Sus scrofa: one gene and its partner. The protein of the gene in region 2 purifies or fractionates together with the protein of the main gene of each other region. This does not show direct contact. Links are inferred from orthologs where the notes say so. Each region holds a gene or a part of one and is shown on either strand. Other genes may lie near its edges. The genes, in order: HOXB6 and ANKRD17.

The links.
Region 1: the proteins of ANKRD17 (region 2) and HOXB6 purify together in Homo sapiens (co-immunoprecipitation; 3 studies listed by BioGRID and IntAct, with this or other methods). This does not show direct contact. The link is inferred for Sus scrofa from reciprocal best matches to the Homo sapiens genes ANKRD17 and HOXB6.

Annotation. Positions count from the first base shown.
Region 1 is NC_010454.4:24,850,523-24,854,915, forward strand, and holds the start of HOXB6 (homeobox protein Hox-B6), read right to left. Parts: upstream 2,973-4,393; 5' UTR 1,566-2,972; coding exon 1,151-1,565; intron 118-1,150; coding exon 1-117. UniProt on the Homo sapiens protein: Sequence-specific transcription factor which is part of a developmental regulatory system that provides cells with specific positional identities on the anterior-posterior axis.
Region 2 is NC_010450.4:69,363,879-69,367,692, forward strand, and holds part of ANKRD17 (ankyrin repeat domain-containing protein 17), read right to left. Parts: intron 915-3,814; coding exon 666-914; intron 180-665; coding exon 1-179.

The DNA of each region.
Region 1 (4,393 bases), on a different chromosome or scaffold from region 2:
CGATGCGCCGCCGCCGTGTCAGGTAGCGATTGTAGTGAAATTCCTTCTCCAGCTCCAGCGTCTGGTAGCGCGTGTAGGTCTGACGGCCGCGCCGGCCGCTGGGCCCAAAGGAGGAACCTGTTACGCAGAGAGGAGATGCTGAGGCCTGGGGGTCACCAGGGCCAGAGCCCCCCTCCCCCCACTCGGCCCTCAAACGTGGACTCTAGCCTGTCCCAGGATGCCCTCCACTCTCCCTCTTCCCTGCCCCCACCCGCTTCCTCATTCCTCCAGCGCCCCCTCCAGATTCCCTCCGGGTCTCCTAGGCTTACGCCTTCCGTCTAGATTCTCGGTGGGGGGATGGGAGGAGCAGTTCTAAATCCCACCTGAGCCTAGGGGGAGGGGCTGGGGAGGCACTGGCCAGGTGTGTCTCTTCCTAGCTGCATCTTTTCTTTCCATCCATCTGGCTCCCCCACCACCCCGTGATAGATTCTGGCCCTTAATCCGCAATGACGTGGATCGATCCATAGTGGGCATTAACGGCTCCTCACTTTCGTGTCCTGCTAATGGACATCAATTTGGGACTTAAGGCCGACAAATAATCCAACCTTAGACCCAGGCGCCTGCTTCTTCCTCTCTCCCCCTCAGCCTGCTCCTTCTCTTTCTTCCCCTTGCTTTCCCTCCCTCCTCTGACTGCCACCCCTTTCCTGGTGCCTCATCTTTCCCCAGCCCCCGACCCCCAGGGAAACCCAGTCCGGGACAGACTCAACTCTCCCTCGCCAGCGTCACGCCGCCCCCCTTCCCATGACGCACTCCGCTGTTAATGAACAGTCCTTGGGTCGGGGACTCGACCAGAGCTGGGGGCGCCAGGGGAAGCCCAGCCAGTGACTGCGGCCCCTGTCCGCCTCCCTGACCCCGAATCCCGGCTGCGGCCTGGCGCTCCGGGAGAATCCACTCGCTCCCCTTGGCTCGGAGTGCATCTGAGACTTTGCAAACTTTGCAACTCCCGAGGGCGGGAGGGCAGCGCGGGAGACCCGGTGCAGGCGCCCAGTGTTGCCTTGGCTCCAACCGAGATGCCCACCCGGCACCCTGTGGGAGAAGGGGGGCTCGCTAGTTCTGTCTTGAGGAGGGGGGGCCCGTGGGGGTCGCGGCGGCCGCAGCAAGTCTCACTCACTGTTGCATGAATTCATCCGCTGCATCCAGGGGTAGACCGGGGTGGAGCACTTCTGCTCCTCTGCCTCGCCGAACACGCTCTTGTCCTGCGCGCAGTCGGACTTCCGCGGCTCGGGGTGGAACGGGGGCGGCTCGTCGGCGCCTGAGAGCGCGCAGGCCGACTCCTTCTCTCGGTAGAAGGCCGGCGCCGGCCCGTAGTCGCAGGGCGCCGCTCGGCCGTAGCCGCCGCCGGCCGGCGGGTAGTAGGAGGAAGCGGCAAAGCCCTTGTCCTGGCCGGGCCCCGGCCCGTAGGGCGCGGGGTAGTGCCTCAGCGGGTCCGCATAGCCCGACGAGTAGAGCGGGAGCTGGCCCAGGAAGGACTCCTGCCCGCTGGCCAGAGTGACGGGGAAGGTGGAGTTCACGAAATAGGAACTCATTGGGAGGGGAGGCGCGCACGGCCGCTGCTGCTCCGCCGGGTTTATGATTTGTTGTGTTTTATAGTCCGAGCGCCGCGCCTATTAGTAGTATATCTGAGATTGGGTTTTAGCTGAGGGGGGATGGCGAGGTGCCAGTGAGGGCCAGAAGGAAATACAACCATCTGATCCAACACTGACCAATGGCAGAAGCAGGAATTGGCAAATAGCACCCAGGAGGAGCGCAGCCCGCGCGAGGGACCCGCGCACAAACCTATCAACCTTTTTTTCCCCCTCCTTCTTCTCCTTCTGCCTTCTCTCTCTCTCTCCCCAACAGCACAACGCGTCCTGTTCCACCTACGTAGGATCTGCGAAAGAGGCGTCTGTGCTTTTGAGGGAGGAGGCAGCACTTGGACTGAGACCACCCCATCCCCCAGTGATTAAATAAATATATCCCTCCCCTCCCCACGCGGAATAGGAAAAAGTTAATTGTGTTTTCAGAAAAGTTAACCCCTGCGTTGCTTGAGCCCCCTTCCCTCAAGGGAAAGTGGATAAATGTCTCCAAATCTTGCATCTCAATCTCCTTGGAGGAGAACTAAAGGAAAGGACAGGGCTGGTTCCTGGCGTTTTGTGTTCAAAGCAGGGAGGAAGAGTTCTCCTCTGATTAGCATCGTTATCAGAAAGAGAGAAGCGGTGAAGAAGAAACCCTCTTCTTCCCAGATTTTGAAAGCCGTTTTTTTCTGCTTCCCAGATCTACCCCGACTTTTCCAAGCCTGGGTTTATTATTCCTACTTCTCTATTACTCTTATGGGCTGGGGGCAGGCCAGAGCCCGCTGCCCAGAGGACCCAGAGGGCCGGAAAATGGGAGGAGAGTCTGAGCCCAAGCTTCTCCTTCTGGCTGTGCTAGGCTGGGAGCTTCTTGGAAGGCTATGGCTGCCGCTGCCCGAGACATCTTGCCTGATTCTAGTGTGTCCTGCTTGCTCTTGGCACAGGAAAAAAGGGACATTGGGAAGAGGGACTGGTCCTGTCTCCACTTGGGGGGTGAGAGGCACCCCCCAGCCTACCTTTGTCTGATCCCTATCCTGCCTGCCACCCTCATTTCCCGCCCACTTCCTAACCCCAAAGACATTAGAGTATCCTGGGCTACAGATTCTTAGGAATCAAAAGTGTCTCCGTCAGTCTGGGTACAGGGAAGAAATTGTTCCTCCTCCAGTTCCGGGTCCTTCAACCCTCCTGATATTGGAGGCAATCAGACCACTGGAAAGAGAGGAACCCTTGCTCCTTTTCCAGGTCTCTCCAGAAACTGGCAGGTCTTTTTAAAAAATTAATTCTTCCTCAAGACTTGGTTTTTGTTTAGTTTTATAAGGAGGGAGGGGCGTTGGGTCTCAGCAGGCAGCTTACAACTATCATTCCGTATCCCCTCTCCAGATGCTCACCACCCTTCTGTCTGTCACTCAGCATCTCTGCAATCCCTCCCACATCTCATGTTTGTATCGCCGGCTTGCTGCCTACAAGCTTTGGTGTGAGTGAGAATGTACACCTCTGACTGTCTCACTCTCTCATCGAAGGAAAATGAGCATTGGAGCCAGGCTGGAAGATGGAGCCAAGGTGTGTTTTCAACATGCTGGCGTGCACATGGAGGCCAGGAATAAAGGGTGACAACCTTCAGGCCTGGGGCCAGGAATGGGCCAGGGTGTGGGACAGAAATCTGATGATGAAGGGGCCAAGCTGACTCTCCTCTGGCTTGTTCTTTGGGCTCCTTTTTTGGTGGGCCAACTCTGCCCATGGAAGATGGCACAAGACCCTAGGAGAAGTGGTAGAGGGCTGTCGCTGGTGACCAAGGATGGGAACTTAGTTGGCTGCAAAGTGACCTACAAGGCTCCCTGAACTTAGGACAACTTCTAGGCTAAGTGGCTATTCCCAGTTGCCCTACCAACACTTCCTAGCCCAGCTCTATGGGGGTCTTGTCAAGGCTGAAGAAAATAAACTGAAGCCTCCTTATGATGGAGTCATGAGGCCTCCAATCCAGCTATGATTAAGCCCACTCCTGGGAGGAATGGGGAACATCTGGGCAGGAGGAGCAAAGTGGGCAGAGTGCCTCATGTATCTCCCTCCTTCTTGCCACTGAGGCTGAGCCTTGGGCCTCAGCCCTCCCTGCCACCCCACTGGCCACAGCGTCCTCACATGAGAACTGGAAGCCGTGGGCTTTCCTATGAAGCCTGGGCAACATTAGCTTCAGTGAGGGAGGAAGCCTTCCCCTGTGATAAAGACACAGAAAATAATCGCCTTATCCTAAGAGTCATAGCCCCAAATTAACCTCACCTCTGCAGGTTGCCTGTCGCGAGATGGAGCCGCAAAGGCAGGGCCTGGGCGCCTGGAGTCCAGCATGAAAGGAAATAGCGCCTCATCGCTCTTATCTAAGCCCAGAGGTATTTATGAGCGTTTATTCGTCTGATCCGTTTGTTTGGGAGAAAGAGCAGGCAGGCAGGGCTGGGCCAGAGGCTGCCTGGTTTCTGGAGCCAGATCTCTATGAATCTGTCTGTGGTTCCATCACCGCTGTCGGTCTGTCTCCAAAGGGGAGTACAGAAATACATAGCAGCATCGGCTGCTCTGAGTGTCTCTCCCTGCTCAACGAAGAGGTGAATATACATGTGTACCAACTCTTGAGTACACAACAGAAGGATTGTATAGAAACCCCACAGGCAGGATTTATAATTGTAATTTTCTGAGCTGTGAATCTGAAGTCCTGCGGACAAACACACATTCCAGCTCCCAGGGAAATGTCTGAGCTGTGTTCAGCTCCGGAGTAAAATTCTCCTGTACCGGTCGGTAATCTCCAGGAGGATATTTGC
Region 2 (3,814 bases):
CCCAACTTTAGGAAAGTCCATGTATCCTGCAGGAACATGCTGATGGAATGTACCAGAAGGAGTTACAATTCCTGTACTCTCTCGCTCCATTGCTTGATGCTGTGAAAATACTCCTGGATCAGACATTGGCCTGTGAATCATAGGGTTTCCCATCCCAGGATTACACCAGTCTACTTTGTCTGAGGGAAAATGAAAAGGCAGAAAAAAATAATTGGTGATATTTAAAATCAGAAAGCAGCAAAAAATTTTATATATTTCTAATATTTTTCAATACTGAATTGTGAATTCCTTCAGAATAATAATCTACTCATATATTTATTGCAATATTTTCATGTTTGTAGATAGTGATATACTAGCCTAATAAAGTAACCTAAACACGTTGAGTTAAAAAACAAAAGAGCTAAGATAAAAGCTTAAAGAGCCCTCAAAGTAATATTAACATCTCCTTAGCATGATGAAATGAAGAAAATAATATGCTTGCACTAAACTTTTTCAGAAAGCAATGGGCAATTAACATGGCAACAACTCTTAAATAAACAGATAGTCTAAACAAAGAAATATGAATACATATTTTTCTAAGAATGTCATTAAGGTTAAATACTGCTTACAATATTTTAGTGAAATGCATAAACTTAATTCCTAGTACGCATTAGAGCATATCATACCTTGATTGCCACCAATCCCTTCAAAGGACCAGATGCCACTGTGCCCGACTGATGTGGACAAATTACTCCCAATAACAGATGGAGCTGAAGTTCCAGTTTGCCTGATACGTGCAGAACGTTCCGTCCCAATAGGGACTGGAACTTTTCTATCCTGAGAGACGTTGCTGGGCTTTTCTGACCCTAAAGGTACTGATGATGGGGCAGGAGAAGGTGCACGAACTCCAGAGGATACTGACTGTGCAGGAGAATCTAGAGAAAAATTATTTTTAAATAATATACACGTTATCTATAAAGCCTGTAATTTCATAAAACAAAATCTTAAATACCTTAAATATGTAATCCTTTAAAGAAAAATGAAATGAGGGTAATGCTTAAATAACAAATTATGTATATTAAATCTGGTTAAAGTTCTATGACTTTGCAGTCATTTTTTTAAATTTGGCTCACAATTTTACCATTTAGTTTCATGACAGCATACGAAAATGTAAATGTTGCACTACACATTAATTTAATATTTAAATAACTTTACCCTTAACAGTGAGTAAAAAATAATACCAGAACAATGAGAAGACAATGTTTAAATTCAAAACACAAACAACCAAAGGCAGGTGGGAAAGATCACTGACTATACTGGCAATTTTCAAACTATTTTCCTTGGGAATATCTGTTCCTAAGTATGTTGTTCCTAAGTATGTTATGATGAAAAAAACAAAGATGTTCAGATATCTAATAAATTTGGAAAATCTAGCTTAAGAAAAAAAAAAAAAGATTCTTTAAATCAAGACTTCGCAGAACCATAATATGCTGATAAAATACCAAAAGAAGCGTATGCCTTATAACCCAAGTGTTTTATTGCATCTTGTGCCTTGTCCACAGAACACACTTTTAAAAATGACAATTTGGGAGTTCCCCTTATGGCACAGGGGAAACGAATTTGAATAGTATCCATGAGGATGTGGGTTTGATCCCTAGCGTCACTCAGTGGGTTAAGGATCCCATCACTGCCCTGAGCTGTGAGTGGTATAGGGCACAGATATGGCTCAGATCCGATGTTGCTGTGGCTATGATGTAGGCCAGCAGCTGTATCTCCAACGTGACAAACTTCCATATGCCGCAGGAATGGCCCTAAAAAGCAAAAAAATAAACAAATAAATAAATAAGAATGACAATTTAAGGAGTTCCATTGTGGCTCAGCAGTAAAGAACCCAACTGGTATCCATGAGGATGTGGGGTCGATCCCTGGCCTTGCTCAGTGGGTTGAGGATCAGCATTGCTGCAGTATAGGTCATAGATGCAGCTTGGATCTGGCCTTGCTGTGGCTGTGGCATGGGCTGGAGGTTGCAGCTCCAATCCAATCCCTAGGCTGGGAACTTCCTTTCATATGCCACAGGGGTAGCCCAAAAAAGAGAAGAAAAAAAAAAAAAAAAAAAAAAGAAAGAAAAAAAAGACAATTTAGGCTTTACTTATAAAAACAAGGCTAGTTCTTGCCTTTTTTTTTTTTTTTCTTTTTGTGGCTGAACCCGTGGGATATGGAGATTCCCAGGCTTGGGGTCGAATTGGAGCTGTAGCTGCAGGCATACACCACGGCCACAGCAATGCAGGATCTGAGCCATGTCTGTTCTACACCACAACTCAGGGCAACAGTGGAACCTTAACCCACTGAGCGAGGCCAGGGATCAAATCTGTGTCCTCAAGGACTGTTGGGTTCGTTAACCAATAAGCCACGACGGGAACTCCAGGGTTGATTCTTAATATAGGCAATTTGGGAATATGCATCGTGATTTAATGTCTTTACACACTATAGAGAAGGAAAAATAAAAACCAAAACTGTATTTATTGAGAAAACTTTAAATACCAAGCACATTTAAATTTAGATAGAGTTTAAACTATGGAGGAGCTTGAAGCTTGAAAGTCAAAACAGTTACCTACAAAGCTATAATTTAACCACAAATGCCTGACTCTATGCCCTAGTGATAGTTATTTTATGATATATATTTAATTTATTTTTTCTTTTTGGCCTTTTTAAGGCCACACCCCACAACATATGGAAGTTCCCAGGCTAGGGGTCCAATTGGAACTGCAGCTGCCAGCCTACACCACAGCCACAGCAACGCTGGATCCTTCACGCACTAAGCGGGGACAGAGATGGGACCCATGTCCTCATGGATACTAGTCGGGTTCATTATTGCTGAGCCACAATGGGAACTCCTAATGATATATTTTCATTTAGCTCTCTTTACATTTAAGTTTTCTATATACATGTGTGTGTGTATAAACACGTTTGTGTCTGTATCTATCCAATGGGACTCAGGTAGCTAATAAATTTATAAAATCAATCTATCTGCCCATACACACAAACATAGTGCTTCTACTTCCCAAGGTACTTTTTAGGGAATTTGGAAGACACAGAAAAATTCAGTAATATTATTGGCCTGAAGTGTTTTTTTTCTTTTAAAAAAGACTTCTCATATGTGTTTTAGAATAATACAGAACTGGAAAGTACTGTGGAGATCAATCCCATCCTACTAGTGCTTACAGAGGTCTGTTTTAGTTAAACTGATAGTATCACTACTCAGTGAGATGCAGTAACTATTAACTAAAAGGAATGAATGCTAAAGTACCCTATAAATTATTATATGGATATTGATTTTATTGGAGAATAAAAAAAATGAGATGTGAGGGCTTGTCATCTGTAAAAGTAAACCAAGAAAACTATTACCTTCTAATGAAAAATTAAAACATAATTCCTGTGGTCATGGATCCATTAGCATTCCTTCATAGTATTTACTTTTAACAAGTCATAAGAAAATGGAAAAGCCACATCAGTCTTTAAAGTAATTATAAATATTTAAAAATACAACTTAAAATTACGCTGGTATAAAATGGAATTCTAGAATAATGGAAACAGTAGTGGCACAGGTTTTGAGTCTTCCCAAATTCTCTCATAAAAACAATGCCACTAAGTTAGCAAAGCTCAAAATCTAGGGAAAACATCTATCACAAAACTAAGGTAATCTAAATGAATCCAAAGATATAAGTGAATGGGGACAAATCACCAAGAGCTATAAAACTCGTATGGTTATCATGCAGTATCTTTGCAGAAGTAAGCAACTCTCCAGGCCTGAGAACAGGAGAATCACAAAATAGTC